Nothobranchius furzeri: one gene and its partner. The protein of the gene in region 2 purifies or fractionates together with the protein of the main gene of each other region. This does not show direct contact. Links are inferred from orthologs where the notes say so. Each region holds a gene or a part of one and is shown on either strand. Other genes may lie near its edges.

Evidence for each region.
Region 1: the proteins of luzp1 (region 2) and dapk3 purify together in Homo sapiens (affinity purification with mass spectrometry; 3 studies listed by BioGRID and IntAct, with this or other methods). This does not show direct contact. The link is inferred for Nothobranchius furzeri from reciprocal best matches to the Homo sapiens genes LUZP1 and DAPK3.

Annotation. Positions count from the first base shown.
Region 1 is NC_091751.1:45,571,232-45,580,090, reverse strand, and holds dapk3 (death-associated protein kinase 3), read right to left. Parts: upstream 4,796-8,859; 5' UTR 4,679-4,795; intron 3,900-4,678; 5' UTR 3,856-3,899; coding exon 3,794-3,855; intron 3,185-3,793; coding exon 2,824-3,184; intron 2,632-2,823; coding exon 2,502-2,631; intron 2,366-2,501; coding exon 2,317-2,365; intron 2,209-2,316; coding exon 2,182-2,208; intron 2,101-2,181; coding exon 1,948-2,100; intron 1,827-1,947; coding exon 1,781-1,826; intron 1,674-1,780; coding exon 1,137-1,673; 3' UTR 938-1,136; downstream 1-937. Other genes in the region: tropomyosin alpha-1 chain, read right to left, coding at 7,022-7,104, 7,599-7,668, 7,994-8,056, 8,139-8,214, 8,303-8,373, 8,471-8,588, 8,809-8,859. UniProt on the Homo sapiens protein: Serine/threonine kinase which is involved in the regulation of apoptosis, autophagy, transcription, translation and actin cytoskeleton reorganization. Involved in the regulation of smooth muscle contraction.
Region 2 is NC_091758.1:27,125,600-27,134,588, forward strand, and holds the start of luzp1 (leucine zipper protein 1), read right to left. Parts: upstream 5,223-8,989; 5' UTR 5,021-5,222; coding exon 4,889-5,020; intron 4,824-4,888; coding exon 2,570-4,823; intron 1-2,569.

The DNA of each region.
Region 1 (8,859 bases), on a different chromosome or scaffold from region 2:
CACCAGCAGAGGGCAGCATTTATACTCATTTCAGCTTTTTACACATGAACTAGCTTCCAAAAAGAAGCAGAATTCAGCAAATCTTGTAAACTATAAACGATTTTAATGAAAACACCTATGAAGGCACATTAAAGTGAATTTTAAGCAATTCAGTAAGAATTTGCTTCAGTGAAAATTCTTTTTGAAACAGGCCCAGACAGCTTTTCACAATCTTCTCTGAAGTCAGTGAACACATCAAAATTAATTCTGAAACACTGCTTTATTAGAAGTGCAGATGAGTACAGGATACTACAGACTATACATATATAATATATGCTTTTTGTTATATTTACAGGGAATGTAGATGCTAGATGAGAAACTGATGGAATGTATTGCATGTGCAGAGATGAAGCATAAATCCTGCAGTTTATACACTGAAAAGGTTTCCATGCACCATTTGGTTTACATGACTACTGTGCAAAAGCAGCTGCAGTTTAAGACTAAATGTGGCAAAAATGCTGTTAGCTTGATGGCAGGTGATCGCTCAGCGAGGCACCTCAGGCACTGCAAATACTAGTTTATACATTCCCAAATCAGGCAGCTTTACTTTACAGGTCTGTAATCTGATTCAGATTGATTTAATGATAATTTTCGAGAATAATTCCTGGAAGACAATATTTGGCACCAATTTAACATAAAAGAGAACCACTTTTAAATAAATTATAACCTGTAAAACAAAGCGTTACCCTAAAGCTGTGCTGAAAGTCTCAGTCCAGACATCAGGGAGACTTTAAATGTCGACTGAAACCAACAAAAGCATGTAGCTGTATGAATAAATACCCCTGAATCCCTCATAAATCTAGTATTGTACATGTATATTGGGGAACTTTCTTAAATAATGATGCAAACTTGGAAAAAAAGAAAAAAAAGACTAAAAAAGTTCTTAAAATAATAAAGTGGTAAAAAAGATGCATTCCAACTCTCAGATTGCAACAACAGCTGATTTACAGAACATCAAAGGTCTAAAATAATAAATTAATTTATAAAATGTATGGGAATGACTTCAACATTCTATCCTCTTGACCTACAAAGGAAGGAGTGTTTCAGATGAGCAGCAGCACAGCGTTGGAAGATGACAGTGTGTGACATCGTCCTACTCAGGGCATGCTGCCAGAACCGAAACCATCCATCTCCATGGACACGGACTTGATCAGCTCCTCCACCCAGCGAACCTCAGAGGCCACCTGCTCAACCAGGACCTCATAGCGGTTTTCCAGCCGCCCAAACTTGCGCTTGAGGGTGTTGGCGCTCTGCATAGTTTGCCGGGTGTCCTCCTGGCACTTCTTGCGCTGGGATTGCGTGCGCTGCAGCTCCTGGCGAATGTGGCTCAGGTCGGCAGAGATACTCTGGTTCTCCTCCTTGTACCAGCCCTCCTTCTCCTCATATATGGACAGCAGAGCCACTACATCCTCCTGGCAGGAGCGCTGGTTGCGCTCCAGCTCTTTCAGGCCCTCCTCTGCCACTGCTATCTCTTCAAGCACCTGGGAGAAGCGCTCAAAGTTCACGTAGGTGTTGTTGGGAGGCATGCTGGAGTGGGACTTGATGGTGTACTCCTTCAGCCGTGTGGTCTTCAGACGCCGACGCTCCGTCTTGTGGTCTCTGTCCTCCTGCCGAACGTTCCGTCTCTTGATCACCTGGAGGAGAAAAATATATATATAATCTGGAATAAAAAGTGACACCCAACAAGGAAGGCAAAATGTTGAGGAATCCACTTTTCCTAGAAGATAACGAAAATGCTCACCTTAATCCAGGAATGCTCAAGACTCTCATTTATTGTCATTCTCTTCCTGTGAAAGACAATTATCCATCAGTTTGAAAATAAGTAGACCAAGATATTTATTAGATTATAATTCTGATGTTTTCTTTTACAGAATATACGCAAATTTGAGACAGGAGTGTATATTTTACTTTGGATCCTTGACCAGCAGACGGCGTATAAAGTCCTTGGCCAGCTCGCTGGTGTTGCTGAAATACTCCTCATCAAAGTCGTAGTTAACAGCAGAAATATTGGTTAAAGTCTCCTGCTTGGTCTCACCCAGAAATGGCGATGCGCCGCTCAACCTAAGGTGGGACAGAGTTGGATGTAGACCTCGCAAGACCACAGTGACTCAACAGACAGACGTGATGTGATGCGTTACTCACAGAATGTACGTGATCACTCCGATGCTCCTGCAGACAAGAGGAGACAGGTAAAATAAGGAGGGGAAGCATCAGACGGTTTAGTAAAAAAACTTCTGATGAGAAGGGGGGGAAAAAAGGTACAGAATGGCATCTTACCACATGTCTGCCTCCAGGCCAAGTGGCTCGTAGTTGACTATTTCTGGCGCTGTAAAGAACAGAGGAATGAGCGCTTTAATTCAAACCAGATGTGATCTGAGGGGGAAAATCTTCCACTCTACATGGTTTAGCTGAGAGGCCTGCTTGGAAGAACGTCAGCTGAATTTTAGGTTGTGGGTTCTTACCGACAAACTCTGGTGTTCCAAAGATGTTTTTGAACTCGTTTCCAGCTTTGATCTGGTGAGCGATCCCAAAATCGATCAGCTTGATCCTGGGGTTGGGCACATTCTTGTCCAGAAGCATGATGTTCTCAGGCTGAAATATTAAAGCAGAATAAAAGAAAATGATGTGAAAACATTTTTAATTGTTGTTCCAATATCATTAATCAATATTTGTCGCTCTGAGAAACATCATTAAAGTCGTGCTCGTTAGTAGTTCTGATAAAAACGTCTAAACTCTGATTCTGCCAAATATTTTACATCCCCAGCTTCCCTTTAGGCTGCTGACCTTCAGGTCGAAGTGGGCGATGCGTTTGACGTGAAGGTACTGAACTCCGTCCAGGATCTGCTTCAGAAACTGCGTGGCCTCCTCCTCGGTCAGAGACTCCTTCTCAGCCAGGAAGTCAAACAGCTCCCCGCCGGACACCAGCTCCAGGATCAGGATGACGTCCGTCTTGTTTTCGAAGATATCGTGCAGGGTGATGATGTTGCTGTGCTCGATCTCCCGCAGGATGTTGACCTCGCGCTCAATCTCCTCACGGCTCACACCCCGCCGGCTGGACGACAGGCGGCGCTTCTTGATGAATTTGGCTGCATACTCGATACCCGTGCTCTTCTCTTTGCACTTACGGACGATGGCAAACTGCCCACTGCAGAGGGAAAGGATGAGAGAGACGCTGCATCAACAAATTGTGTTAGAATATTTTAGGGTGAGATTTAAACTGCCCAATAAATGAGGAGGTAATCTACCAGAAAATAGATAAGTTTAGATTAATGCAATTTAACAACAGAAAAAAGAAGCACACAGCATTTTACAGTGCAGTCCATTCTCCATCACTTAATATGTGCAGCTTGTCTTGGCAAACTCACAGCGTTCTCATCTTTGGAGACAAAGCCGAGGTGGAAGGACACACTTGGTGGACTTGATGTCACACTTTTGCTGCATTACTGCAGAAGAAAACCAGCTAATACAGAGAGGTGGGTTTAATCTTTAAAAAATGTTGACTCATCTCCAGAACTGTCCAGCACAGCATAAAGGGATGTAGGATTATTTTTATTGTTGCTGGTGCAATGCAAAAATTATTTAGCCCAGTTTGGATGCTGAGCTTTGGGTCAGATGAGGTTGAAACTGAGCATCTTGTGCCTGATCTGCCTTCAGTTCTCAGAATTACACAATTGTTTTTTTCCAAGCACACATTTGAGGAAAAAAAAAAAAGAAGGAATTTAAAGCATCATGATGTTTTTGATGCTGTTCTTACCTGCCCAGCTCCTCCCCCATCTCATAATACAGCTCTACATCCTCCTGCCTGAAGCCAGCCATGGTGCTGACTCGAACAATGATGGGAGAGATGCCTTAAAAACTTCCTACAGCAAAGGAGAAAAGTTAGACGCACGTAAATAATAACATACTGACGATTAAAAATGTGGCACAAACACAATCAATATGACGATTACAGCTGTAAGCTTTCATTACAAAGCATCGGAGTATTGTTCAGTCCAAAAATGGTAAATCACCCCTTATGACCTTGACTTCTTCCCTCCTTATTTGGTTCTAATCAACACAGCTTCAGTGTTTTTTTTTTCTCAGAGACTTTAGGCTGATGTCAGACCTCTGCATACCAGTCCTACTGACATCACCTCCTGTCCCGGTCCAGCTAACTCTGGCTCGATTAAAGGGGCTGGAATTTGTCCACACAGACATGTTTTAAAGTTTGTTTAGAACAACTGCAGATAAGTTGTATAGTGTAAGGGCTTTTGCAAAAGCATAAGCTACAACATCCGGCTGTTGTGTCAGAGAAGCCAGCAACACAGACCTTCCTCACCGACAACTATTAATAAAAACAGCCCGACTAAAGAGCTTTATTACACGCAGCTAGGAGAATAAAGTCGACAAACATCTATTCAATAGTAACATATTTAGAATGATATGAGAAGAACTAAATTAAACCGTGGCCACAGACGACAGCTAGCTGTACTGGTTAACAAGTTAGCGTAAAAAACACCGGCCGGGATGTCTTTGTTTTCACCACACCTCCGTATCCTGATACTTTAGCATAAATACGTTTATTGTTAGATACTAAAAGTACATTTTTATAATACACAGTTAACCCTAAGAATCTGAAGTCAACAAAATAGTTACTCACGGTATGGATGGCTACCAGCGCTGCATTCCTTATCCTGGGAACTGGGCGAGCGGATCTTTGGTCTGAGCAGTTTCAGTTTAGCCACAGCCAAACAACACGCTTCCGGTTTGTTGTGTCAAAATAAGTATTTAAAACCTGAAATAAATGTGGTATTTTAAAAATAAATTTTGTAAGAATTTTGTTTTATTCAGTTTATTCTGGTCTGTATGTTTTGTTTGGAAAATTGGAAAGTATATAATAGATTTGGTGTATTTAAATGCTTTTAAACTTTATTGTGAAATCTAGCATAACTTATTTTCCGGTGCTGACGTTTAACTTGACAAAGGTAAACATCCAACAGGACAGAAGGAAGGCCATATGGAATGACATCAGGCTGAGAGAATTGACTGAATTACGTCTGAAAAACAAGATTGAGCACGCAACTGCAATGATTAAGGCTCCTAATGAGGAACAGTGGAAAGAAAAAAAACCTTGGTTCACATGGCAGAAAGTTTCATGTAGAAAATGTTGGTTTATTTTTATATAATGGCTGGGAAATGAACAATCATCCATACACGAACGTTTACAAAATATTGGTTACGAGCATACGAGCCAAGCTAATTAGAGCCAAGGAGTCTGTCAGGAGCGCGCACTGGAAGGTCACTGGACAGGTAGCGCGGATCCAGTGGACTGCGCCTTGATTCCAACTAGTTAAACGTAGAATTAGGTTTTTCCAAAATATTGTGTCTTTACATAATCATTCAGTCTGTGACAACAGAAGGTGCTACTTTTTTTGTTTGCATTTATTATTACGACATTGCTGGATAAATGTCACCCTCTTGTGGGGATTTAGTGAGCTTAGACAAGACGTCTTTTTAAAAATGCCTATTTTTCTAATTATGGGGTTTAATTTTTTCACCTATTAGGTAAGTCTTAGCTTTGGCTCTAAATGTTTAGGAGGGGTTGATTTTAAAATCTGTTGAAAATCCATCCAAAAATGGATGAATGAATGTATGATTTTCAAATCAATTGTAGCTTTCAGTGAGAGCTATCTGAAGAAGGCAAAAGGAAAAGAAAACGGTTTCTCTTCCTTGACTTTTTGACGCTGCTTGTGTGACGTCTGTCGCCGCCTGGTGGTAAATAGTTGAAATTACAATTAAAAAATAAACCTTTTCTATGGTTACGCTTCCTGATGGAACAAAAATCATAACATCGTAAACTAATCATGTAAAACGCAACAAAAATTCCATTCAATAAATTACTATAAATTAAGAGAACTTTCAAAAAGAAAACTGTCGCAACTGTGAACATGCCAACGTGCTAAGGTCTTCTTTCTTTGGCTGCTGTTTCCGCTGAATTTATCGCAACCTGGTGGCGATTTAGTGACATTACAACAAATCAAAAATAAACCTTTCTAATGGTACATCGCTACCTAGTATTTACAGTCTATGATCGCTACGCTACCTGAACGCAATGACATATTTTATTCAATAAATTGCTATCAATTAAAATAACGTGCACAATGTTGCAACTGTGAACATGCTAAAAGCTCCATTCTTCTTCGCTGCTGCACTATTTAAGACATTCAACTCTTCATAGTAGACAGCGACTATTGCCATTGAATGAAAGAAAACAGCTCATTCAAATTATCTTACCAAAGCAGGGCTGAATGTTCTGACTTATACACGTTTTACCCTGATATAAAAAAATCAATTTAATATAAAAACAAAACAATTCTATCTGAGACATCTTCCCAAACCATTTATTTAAAAAGTTGTTTGGGGCGGGGTTCTGAATTTGTTGTTGAAATGTACATTTTCAGCCGAGTTTTAAGCTCAATAATTTTTTTGCGGTGAGAAGCAGAAGCATGAAGTTAGTACTACTAGGCTTTACAACACAGTCATGATGCAGATCTGATGATAAAATCAGAATTCAGTGCTGTGACAGTTGTGGGAACAAAGATTAGGCAACTACTGGAATAACGGAACGCACTGAAAACTGCATGTCCATACAGGTAAGCTGTCTGAGAGCGGGTTTTCTGCAACAAAGCAACAGAAATAAATACACCAAACAGCAAAAAAGACACTCTTCATCACTACTGTTCATGTATTGAAAATGACATAATCATGAACTTTATTTTTGCTCCGTTTGGTCTAAAACACAATACCTAGCACCAATACTGTAATTGTTTGGACCCAAAACCATTTTTAAAGACAAATGAACAAAAAAAAAAACATAAATACATAAATGGGATAAAAATGTTTAGCAGTCATGAGTGAAATTGAAAGAATTGAATGGCATGTGGAAACTCTTTTACAAAATCTAGTTCTTTTGTTTTCGTCGTTGTTGGATGTTCTTGTCATTTTACAAACTGTTCAGCTCCTGCAGCGTTTGGTCCAGGACTTGGTGCATTCCTACATTTTCCTCTTTTGCATGTGAAAGGTTCTCTGTAATAAACAGAAGTAGAGTAAACAAAAATTAAATGCAATTATACTTTCGTGCAACACGCAACCCCCAAAAAGTTGATTAGACAAAGAATGAATGAAAGAGGAAAAAGAGTAGAGAAAATATCTTTATTGTGCTTCAGGTCAGAACAAAGGCACAAAGGAGCGGTGAGAGAAGAAGCGACTAAATGCCTTTAAGATGCCACACAGAAGCAAACAAAGTAAAAACACAAGTTTTACAAGGTGTTCATATCATTGAGGGCGTGATCCAGCTCCTCGCTGATAGCCTTGTATCTCAGCTTCTGGGTGTACAACTCGTCTGAAGGTAGGAAGGCACAGAAAGGAGGAAGGCAGGGTGGAGAGAGAGGAACATTGTGAAGACAAAAGGGAGAAAAAGAGAAGTGAAGATAATTAAATCTTAACTACAGTAAAGGAATGAAGAGGCTCAGTGGAAGAGACAGTATGGATGGATTAAAAAATAAAAGTACAACACAAACCTTCTAGGTCATCTATGGTCTTTTCAAGCTTTGAAACTGTCCTTTCTGCAAATTCTGCACGAGTTTCCGCCTTTTAAAAATAATAAAAAAAAAAAGATAAATACATATTATTAGTATATATTAAATATTCTGTAGTACAGAAGATGACTAGGGCCACTGAAAAGAAAAAAGTAAAGAAAGAGAATTCTGACTTTTTCCTCAGGATCCAACTTTAACAACCCTGAGATAAAAAGTCAGAACTCTGACAAAAATCTATGAGTTCTGAGATTAAAGTCAAAATTCTGAGGAAAAAAAGTCTGAATTCTCTTTCTTTACTTTTCATTCTTTTCAGTGGCCCTAACCCTCTTCCGTGCTGAAGCAACCCCGAAGAGCAACTCAAAGAGACGAGAATTTACCTCCTTAAGTCTGTCGTTCAGGACTTTAATCTCCTCTTCGTATTTGTCTTCTTTCTCAGAGTACTAAACACAAAAAGGAAACGGTTTTGTTGTAATCAGCTGTAGTAATCAGTATTTATCAGTTTCTGGCAAACTTCGGTGATACCTTATCAGACTGAGCCTCCAGAGATTTGAGGTTGTTGGTGACATTTTTCAGCTCTTCTTCCAGGTCGCTGCACTTCCTGCAAGAACAACAGACACATTCTTGTTCCAGTCCTTTCAACAAATATTAAATAACAGCGCGTGGCTTTTTTTTGTGATGGTGCGTACAGTTCAGCGATTTCCGCTCTCTCTTCCGCCCTCTCCAGCTCCCCCTCGAGGATCACCAGTTTACGAGCAACCTGTTAAAAACACGCAAAATCACCGCTGATTAAAAGAGGAAATGATGTCAGAGCTGTTTCAAAACTGTACCAGAAACACGGATGTGTGAGCATGTACCTCCTCGTATTTTCGGTCAGCCTCCTCAGCGATGTGTTTGGCCTCTTTGAGCTGCATCTCCTGAATCTCCATCTTCTCCTCGTCTTTCATGGCTCGGTTCTCAATCACCTTCATGCCTCTGCAGATGAGAGTTTAACGAAGATGTGATCCAAGATGCAAAAATGAACTTGTGTTTTGGTCTTAATGTAAAAAAAAGTTCCTATTATTTCACTCTAGAGGTCAAAACAACTTGTGAAATATTCCATTTCTGTGAAGAGTCTTGGTTTTGAAAGATTAAACATAAGAATGTAAAACTTTGACTTATTAGAAGACGTTTTCTGGCTGTTCTGGTCCGTCACCTTTCACTTTCATCTGCAGCCTTCTCGGCCTCCTCCAGCTTCTGCAGGGCC
Region 2 (8,989 bases):
TTGGGATGGTATCAGAACGCATAGTGGTGACCACAGACACTTCCCTCAGAGGCTGGGGGGCTCTGTGTGGGGGTTTAGCGGTGAGGAGGGTATGGTCCTCGACCCAGTCAAGGTTCCATATCAACTTTCTGTATCTGTTAACTGTGTTTCTGGCCCTGAAACACTTCAGTCATCACCTGAGAGGACACCGTGCTGGTGCGCACAGACAACACAACTGTGGTGTCAAATGTTAACAGACAGGAGGGAACACGCTCTCTTCCTCTACTGAATCTCACCCACACATTTCTGCACTGGTGCAATCTGAATCTCCTGTCTCTCAGAGCATCTTATGTCCCCGGGTACCTCAACCACGGAGAAGACTTGCTCTCCAGGGGCGGACCTCTGACAAAGGAATGGAGGCTCCACCCCGAGGTGGTGTCCCAGATTTGGCTGAGGTTTGGCAGGGCAGTAGTGGATCTGTTTGCGTCAAGCGCAAACACACACTGTCCCCTGTTCTTTTCCCTGACGGACCAGACAGCTCCAATGGGATCGGATGCTTTGGCGCACCCTTGGCCCAACGTTCTCCTCTACACTTTTCCGCAGGTGGAACTGATTCCAGCAGTACTGGAGAGAGTGCACAAGTCGAGCACATCTCTGATTTTGGTGGCCCCTCAGTGGCCCACAAAGTCTTGGTACCCGGAGATCATCAGTCTGATGATAGTCCCCCCATGGAAGCTCCCCATCGGACAGGACCTTCGATCACAGGCACAAGAGGAAGTGCTGCACCCTCGCCCTCATCTATGGAAGCTGCAGGCCTACCTACTGAAAGGTCCAACCTGTTAGCTAAAGGTCTTCCCCCAGCTGTGGTGAAAACTATTCAGAGCTCAAGAGCATGCTCTACAAGGGGTTTATATGCCTATAAATGGAAGGCTTTTGAAGTGTGGTGTCTAAGCAGGTCAGTAGTTCCCTCACAGAGCTCCACTGTGGACATTCTGTCGTTTCTACAGGATCTGCTGGACAAGGGCGTGTCATTCCCCACTTTAAAGATCTACCTGGCAGCCATTTTGGCTTGCCATGAATCTTTTAATGGAGTTTCTCCTGGCGCTCACCCTTTAGCCGTTCGGTTCATGTAAGGGGTTCGCAGACTGAGACCCGTTATTCGATCGTCTGCCCCTTCTTGGGACCTCGCTTTGGTGCTGGAGGCCCTGTGTGGTCCCCAATTTGAGCCTATTGAATCGATCAGTATGAAGCATCTGTCTTATAAGACAGCTCTGCTCTTAGCCCTTGTATCGGCTAAAGGGGTGGGAGACCTTCATGCTCTTTCAGTTCACCCTTCCTGTCTGAAAATGTCATCAGATTGAGCTAAGGGTCACTGCATCCGAATGCTGCATATTTGCCTAAGGTCATCCCGCTCAACTATGGTTCCATGACCATAGAGCTTTCGGGCTTCAGAAGTCCTCCTTTTGCCTCTGAGGAGCAGAGGAGACTGTAATGTCTGTGCCCGGTTTGTGCTCTGCAGGCTAATATAGATCACACTCGGACCAACTGTCTGTGTGTTTGGCCAAACCCTCCATGGGTAAAGCTTTGTCAAAGCAAAGACTTTCTCATTGGATTGTGGAGGCCATTTCGCTGTGTTACAGCGTCACTGGCTCCCAGCTACCCCTAGGGGTCAGGGCACACTCTACTAGAGGTGTGGCTGCTTCTTGGGCGGTGTTTAAAGGTGTTTCAGTTGGCGACATTTGCTCAGCTGCAAGCTGGGCTACACCCCACACCTTTGTGAGGTGTTACCGCTTGGATGTTTTGGCCCCTTCGGTGGCCCGTGCGGTTCTCTCTGCAGGATCTGACTTGCCATCTTAGGTTGCAATCTGAGGCCAGGTTTGATAGCTGCTCATGGGGCGTTTCGATAAGTCCCATAGTACCTTCGTTGTACCGAGTGAATCGACTGAAAGGGAACGTTAGGTTATGCATATAACCACTGTTCCCTGAAGGAGAGGAACGAGGTACAACGCAGGGCTGCCCCATTCACAGCCCAGCTCGGTGAAGAGCGGCTATCGAACTGAGGAATGACAGTGACGCGGTTGCTTATAAGTGGAGGGCGGGGCCTCCACGCAGCGTCACTTTCATTTGCCTTACAGGCGTGATTAAATGTGTCTTCAGCCAGGCCACACGAGGGCGTGATGTCCCATAGTACCTTCGTTGTACCTCATTCCTCTCCTTCAGGGAACAGTGGTTATATGCATAACCTAACGTTTTAGATTAAAACATATATAAATATTAAAAGAATGCATTATTTACCTTAATGGCAGTTGGGGGAGACAAAAGTTACAAAGTGCACGTTCAGAGCTAGCAAATCTTGTGTTAAAGTTAGAACACAGAAAGAGTTTCCTGTAAACTCTAAGCAGAAACTTTTAGTCTTTCGTTAAATAAAAACATTTTTCTAACAGCTGCATGACCCTTTATTATAAACGTTCTACATAAAAAAACCTTTCAAACAGACTTTAGCAAGAATCTGTGCATTACTAACTACTGGATCAACTAGTGTGAATGAACCAAATCAGTTTGGTAATAAATTACTGTATAAAACACCTACCTATAAGGATGTTACTGGTAGACGTGTGGCGTTCTTTAACAGGCAAAGGTTCGCTGGACAAGCTGCTGCTGCGGCTGCTTGTTCTGGAAGACCCAGGGTCGTTTGGGTAAATGGTTATGCTACTGGTCATTTTACTGGTGGTGGTCACTGCTGGCTTGGTGGAGATACTGGGTTTGCCGTTTGTAGACAAGGACTCAGAAATCATCAATTCCTTCCTGTCAATCTCAACAATGGCGGGCTTGATGATGGCATTGGACCTCAGCGCCTCCCGAGGGCTGCACACTCTCTGGATTTCCATCGCTGACGGAATGTGCACGAATCCCTGTTGGCCACCGTCCGAGGACTGAGTCCTACTGTGCAGCTCTTCGTCAAATGAGCTCCTGGAAGAAGAGCCCTCTGAATGAGAGTCATGGACATGTGGGTATCTGGCATACCTGGGGGTTGCAGTCCTACTGCTAATAGTTGCACTTGTCTCTGTGACGGGTTCCACTTCAGATGGCCTTGAGCTGATAGATTCGGTTTCCGAAGCAGAGGAATGACTGTCTGAGCCCTGATCGTTGACGAGCAGCGGAGAGATGCGAGACCTGTAAGCCGCGTACGATCCGTTGGCTCTGGATGAGGTGGATGCCACAGACGCGGACACGGATTCTTGAACCAGGTCTACAGACTCCTGATCCGAGGCGGACGCCACCTCCTTCTCCAGCGCGGAGACACTGGAGCTTTCTGGCACTGCATCAGAGTTGTTTGATTCGCTATCACTACCAACGTAGAGCTTTGAAAACTTGTCCCTGCTGTTTTTCAGGTCCCCATCAGTCTGTTTGTTCACAATCTTCTGTGACTTCTTGTCATTAGCTGCTGGAGGGTAGCGACTCAGAACAGACAACTTCTTAGCATCATTACAAGTGGAGTTTAGGGAGCTGTACGTGGCTCCTCGTGTCCTTTCCTCAGTAAGCCGTGCACCATCTTGTTTTCCAATTTCAGACACAATTGCAGCAGCTGAGGTTTTGGGTGTCCTTCTGGTCTTGATAGCAGGACTGAGGGCTCTCCTCGTAGACTTTGGAGATCTCTCCTCGGTGTGGCTGAGCTCTCTGCTCCTCAGTTTGGTTTCTCTCTTGTGCTGAGGGGAGAGCTCCCTGTTCCTGTGCTTAGGGGAGCTAGGTTCTGAAGCAGCTGCAGCGCTTCTAAATTTAGGTTTCTCTTGTCTGAAAGCTCCCTTCACGATCTCCTGATTCTCAGCTTTGCCATTTTCAAGGACCTTAGCGGGACTGTTCGGATGAATACTGCTGCCTTCACTGCCGTGCTTTTCCAGGTGACTGACCCCGTTGCCTCCAATCCCTCCTTTTCCGAACAGCTGCGTCCTTAGCTGCTCCACCTGTTCACTTAGTTGACGAGCTCGATTTCGTTCCATCTGGAACTTTTCGTGAAGTTCTCCATTTTTAAACTCTGAGTTCTTCAAGTCCTCCTCCACTATCTCCAACTGTTTGAGGCGATTTTTCAGCTTCTCCAATTCCTGCGTCAGCTCCTTTACTTTGTTGTCCTCTTGTGAGCCGCCAAGACCGCTCATCTTCTTCTTGTCCGATTTGTTGACGATGCTGATGTTCTCATCTAGTTTTAAGGAGTCCATCTTCTTCTTGTATCCAGCCAGCTTACTCGTGAGGGAGTAAGTGGACGACAGCTCATCCTCGATTCTTGAACTCATGAAATCTGCACGCCCTGGCTCTGTCGATATGCCAAGGTGTTTCTTTTTTTCTTCTGTCAAATTTAGAATGGTTTTCTCATCCTCCTTCTGTTTCTCCAACAGCCTCTTGCGCTCACTGACAAAGGCCTGAGTGTATCCCTTCAGTTTCTCAAGCTCCATAGCCAAAGCCTGCTCTGCTCTTTCTAGCCTTGTTTCAGAACCTTCCACTTCCTTCAAACGAGCCTTGAGCATTTCCAGCTCAGATGAGAGCTTCCTGGTCAGGTTTTTCTCCTCGTTGAGGCTAAGGCAGAGCTGGCTACAGTCAGACTTGCTTTTATTAAAAGCCTCTTCCAGTTTCTCTAGTTCAGCCATCCTCCGCTGCAGACGCTCAATCTCTGCCTTTAGCTCCTTTGTGAGGTTTTCCTCCTCTTCCAGTTTCTCTCGAACTGTGCGACAAAGGTCCTCAGCTTTGCGTACTTCCTCATCTTTGCCCTGGATCTTCAAGAGATGTTTCCTCAGGGTTTCTACATCGCCAAGGAGTGATGAGTTGCTGCCCTCTGCTTGGATGATCTTGTCCTACGAAGAAGAGTTTCATTAATGTTTACATCACTTAACTCGTCTCATTGTCAGCCAGTACCAACCTGCAGATCCAACAGCTCATCCTCGGACTTCTGCAGCTTGTTTGTCGCTTCTTCCAGTTCATCCAGTCGTCTGCCGAGACTCTGAAGCTTGTGCCGTAGGTGGCGATGCGTCATGTCTTTATGATCAGACATGGCTACAAACGTCTGTGTAATGTATCGGTTGGGTTGGTTCTGCTGTCGGATTATTTAATGACAGACTGATGGGGGTTCCACATCTGTGTGGCAGTGACAGAAAGTCCTAAAGGCTCTCAGGGAAATGCTGTTGCCTCTTTGCAGTCTGGCTCTTCCAGTTGTTCCAGCTGTCTCTTCAAGTCGTCAAAGTTTCCTCAGAGTGGTGTTTAGCAGACAAATCTGTCATCAGTAGGAGGGAGAGGAAATAACACTTAGTCATTCCTGGTTTGTTAATGACAATCATTTGCATTCCCAAAAGTAGTTATGTGAGCCAAGCAAATGAGTCAAAGACCATAGGGATTTGCTTGCACTGTATCCTGTTAACAAACGAAGCAGTTACTCCTGAGTTTACCTAGGCAAATTAGAAGAAGTCTACCATAGTGAAATTGCTGCTGTAATTTAAATGTTTCATTGAATTCCACCTGGTGAGTAGCGCCTCATTCTCTAAACAACCAAATAATGCATCAATAAAAATAACACAAATACATTTTATAACATAAATGATAATAAATGTCCCTTTGAAGAAGAAAAGATGGGAGAAGAAAGAAACAAAGGAATCTTGAATGATTTAGATATTTGATGATTTAAGAGCAGCTGCACAGTGGTTAGCGCTGTTGCCTTGCAGCAAGGAGGTCCCAGGTTCACATCCCGGCTTGGGGTCTCTCTGCAAGGAGTTTGCATGTTCTCCTGGTGCATCGGTGGGTTCCTTCCAAGCATAAGTATCTGTATAAGAAGCGCCAAAGCCGCCTCCACCTCCTGAGGAAACTGAGGTCCTTCGGAAATCCACTCTGCTGTGGTCTGTTGGGGTGCAGGCATCTCTGACCGTGACACGAAGAGACTGAACAAGCTAGTTCACAAAGCTAACTTGGTTCTGGGTACAGTTGAATAGACGTGTGAGAGGAGAATGCTGGGGAAGATGACCACCATCCTAAAACCCCCCTCCCACCCACTGTATTCCACTGTGGAGACCACGGACAGCTCCTTCATAGGCAAACTGAGACATCCCAGATGTAAAACAGAAGGCTACTGTAGCTCTTTCATCCCCTCTGCTGTACGAGTGTATACGTTTTACTGGCATTATCCTGGTACACAATAACACCAATGCGATATTCAGTATGTGTTTAATACCGGATTTACACTGCATGTCTGTGTCTCTTGCAGTATGCTGACTAGTGCCGTGGTGGGTCAAGAAAATTTCTCCCACACAACTGGACTAGGATATTGTTTTTACGGTCTATCGTCTAGAACCCATCTGCCCCATTCTCTTCTGACATCTGACATCAACAAGGAGTCATCGTCCACACAACTGCTGCTCTCTGTAAACCCTAGAGATAGTGTCTAAGTCTTTTGCCATTGAGCCTCCATGTTTTTCACCTTGCCTGTCCTTCAAAGGGCCAGGAGCAGCACATCTTTCAAGTGTGTGTGTGTGTGTGTGTGTGGTGGGGGGTGTTAGCCTTGCACGAACAGACCCCACACGCTTTGTTCCTTCCCTGCTCCTGTAGACCCACATCGATCTGTGTTTTGCTTGCCTGCTTTTGCTGACAGCAGCACATCTCAATCACGCATACACTCCTCCATAGCAACAGCAGCCCCGTCACAACGGGGCAATTATTCTCCCTCGGGGCAATTGTAAGGGTGAACAAAAACTCTGACAGAGAAGGTTAAATCTCACTTTTAGGAAAGATGGTGGAATTAAGAAATCCCATAATATTAGTGATATTTACACCACATTTTTAAATTTCATCAGCCAGTGAAAATGTGTAGGGGGAGGGTTACAAAGTGTGTTAGTTCCCATCTGTAAGCACAGCATGGAGCACAGATCATTAGCAGACCACAGGCTGTTAGCAAGGTCACCATACATCCAACAGTCAGGTCTCATGTATGATTCAGGTGGTCTTTCCACCAATACCCATCCTCCTCCTCCCCCGACATTCAGCTGAGCATCTTATATGGACCCCAAAGGGGAAAAAAAACAATATATTTATAAAAAAAAAAAAAAAGAAAACCAACCGAAGACACGACTACTTATCGACCCCCACTAAGAGCAGGCTCCACACCACACAATGCCTCCCATTTCTCCTGGTTTACAGCCTCGTGTTCAAAGATTCTCCTACTAAAGCTGCAAACCACAACATCACAAGAACATTGCAGTTTTCTCTTTACATTGGGCTGTTGTGAAGACATCAACCGGGGCAGTAAATCTACATGGACATGAACCATGTGCGTTGACTGTAGACAGAACCTCACAACGTGTCATTATGAGTAACTCCAGCACAGAACATATTTTTTTATATTGTTTTATTTTGTGTACAAAAACCAAACCAGCCTACCCTCAATGTATTAAATGTCCTATTGAAAGTAAATGGGGACAATGTGCTTTGAAGGTCAAAGATTACTTTATGACTAAACATATTGAGGGTTCAGATGTGGTGTTTAATCACGCTCTTCCTTTCATGAGGTTTGGTGGTTTAGTAATCTCACAGAGTACAAGACATGAAGCAAATAAAGTAGATTGACTGAGGGGAGGTAGAGAGTGAAAAGACAAATGGGGGAAAATGTTGAACCCACTTGAATGCCAAAAAATACCTTAGTCCATAAGACGTTTTGGGAAGAATTAGTATCACTCATCTGTGGCATGCCAACAGTTTCCCCAACATTTTCCAAATGTCTCAATCTCTTCCAACAAACAAAACAAGATAATTTGAATAAATCCATCAAAAACAGACTAATAGAAGGAGGAGGAAAATTACTTCAGATACATTTTTAAAGAAAGCTCAAAGCGATAGTACAGATCTCTTTAAGAAAGATTCTGTGAAAGAAATATTTTACCTGCTGTAGAAAAATCTTTGGACTAGGAGTGTGCTATGGCTAGTCTGAGTGAGGCCAAGACCAAAATGCATCACCGCTTTTGTAAAACAACTCTAATCTCTATTATTTATAACAGGTCAAGTGAGTCCTATTATATAAACTTTATAAGCTCCCTTAAATCACCCCACATTTTGCATTTCTTAGTTATTACAACAAAAATATCATGATATTCCTGCAGGAAATGTTGCAGGCTAGCAGCTAGCGGCTGCTACCATCATTTGCATTTGCAAATGTTGTTTGGCAAATTGAGCAAACTGAAGCTGGTGGTGAAGTAAAAATTTATAAAAATGCTTAATTGTTGATTTTCCTTAACCTCGAACCTGCTTTGACTAACAGTTAGCCTATCAACCTGGGCAGAACAAGTCATTCAGAAAGATAAAAGGTCAACTTTGTATTACTTTTCCACAGAATCCAACTTTAAACAATTTGAAGCTTTTTTTAAGGATGCAGAAAGTTGCAAAATGCAGCAACTTAACCCCAGAGCATCAAAGCTACACCAGACATAAAAGTAGACAGGAAGTGATCCAAATTGCTAATCCTTGTTCAAAAACTAAAAAATCCACAGGTTCTGTCAGTATCACTTTGGCTTTAACACATCCACAATTATCTTGGGGTATGATTTTGGTCCCCACATGGCATCTCAGTTGAGCCTTGTCCTGGTAAATAATGGCGTTTTGCTAGCTCCAGTTACTCCCGTCTTGGCACTCTGCCTCCTCCCTCCTCATTCGCTCTTTATTTCTTTGCCAGTACTCTGCCTCCCTCTCTCATCTTTCCCTTCCATCCCTTTTTGACACGCAAACCAGTTCAGCCAAGTGTGCGCTTTTGAGGGGTGGCAGTGCATGCAAAGTGAGTCTGGCACCAGTCCGCCACTGCTGAACCAATCAACATATCTGATGCACATATGGTCAGGCCCGGAGTCTCACTAGCTAAAACCAAGAACAATCAAGAGGCAGTTAGGAGGATAGAGAGGTGAAACATATCCAAAGACAACAAAAACAGGTGAAACAAGGTCAGTTCAGGTCATATGTCAATAAAATCCAAACAGAAAAAAACCTTAACATT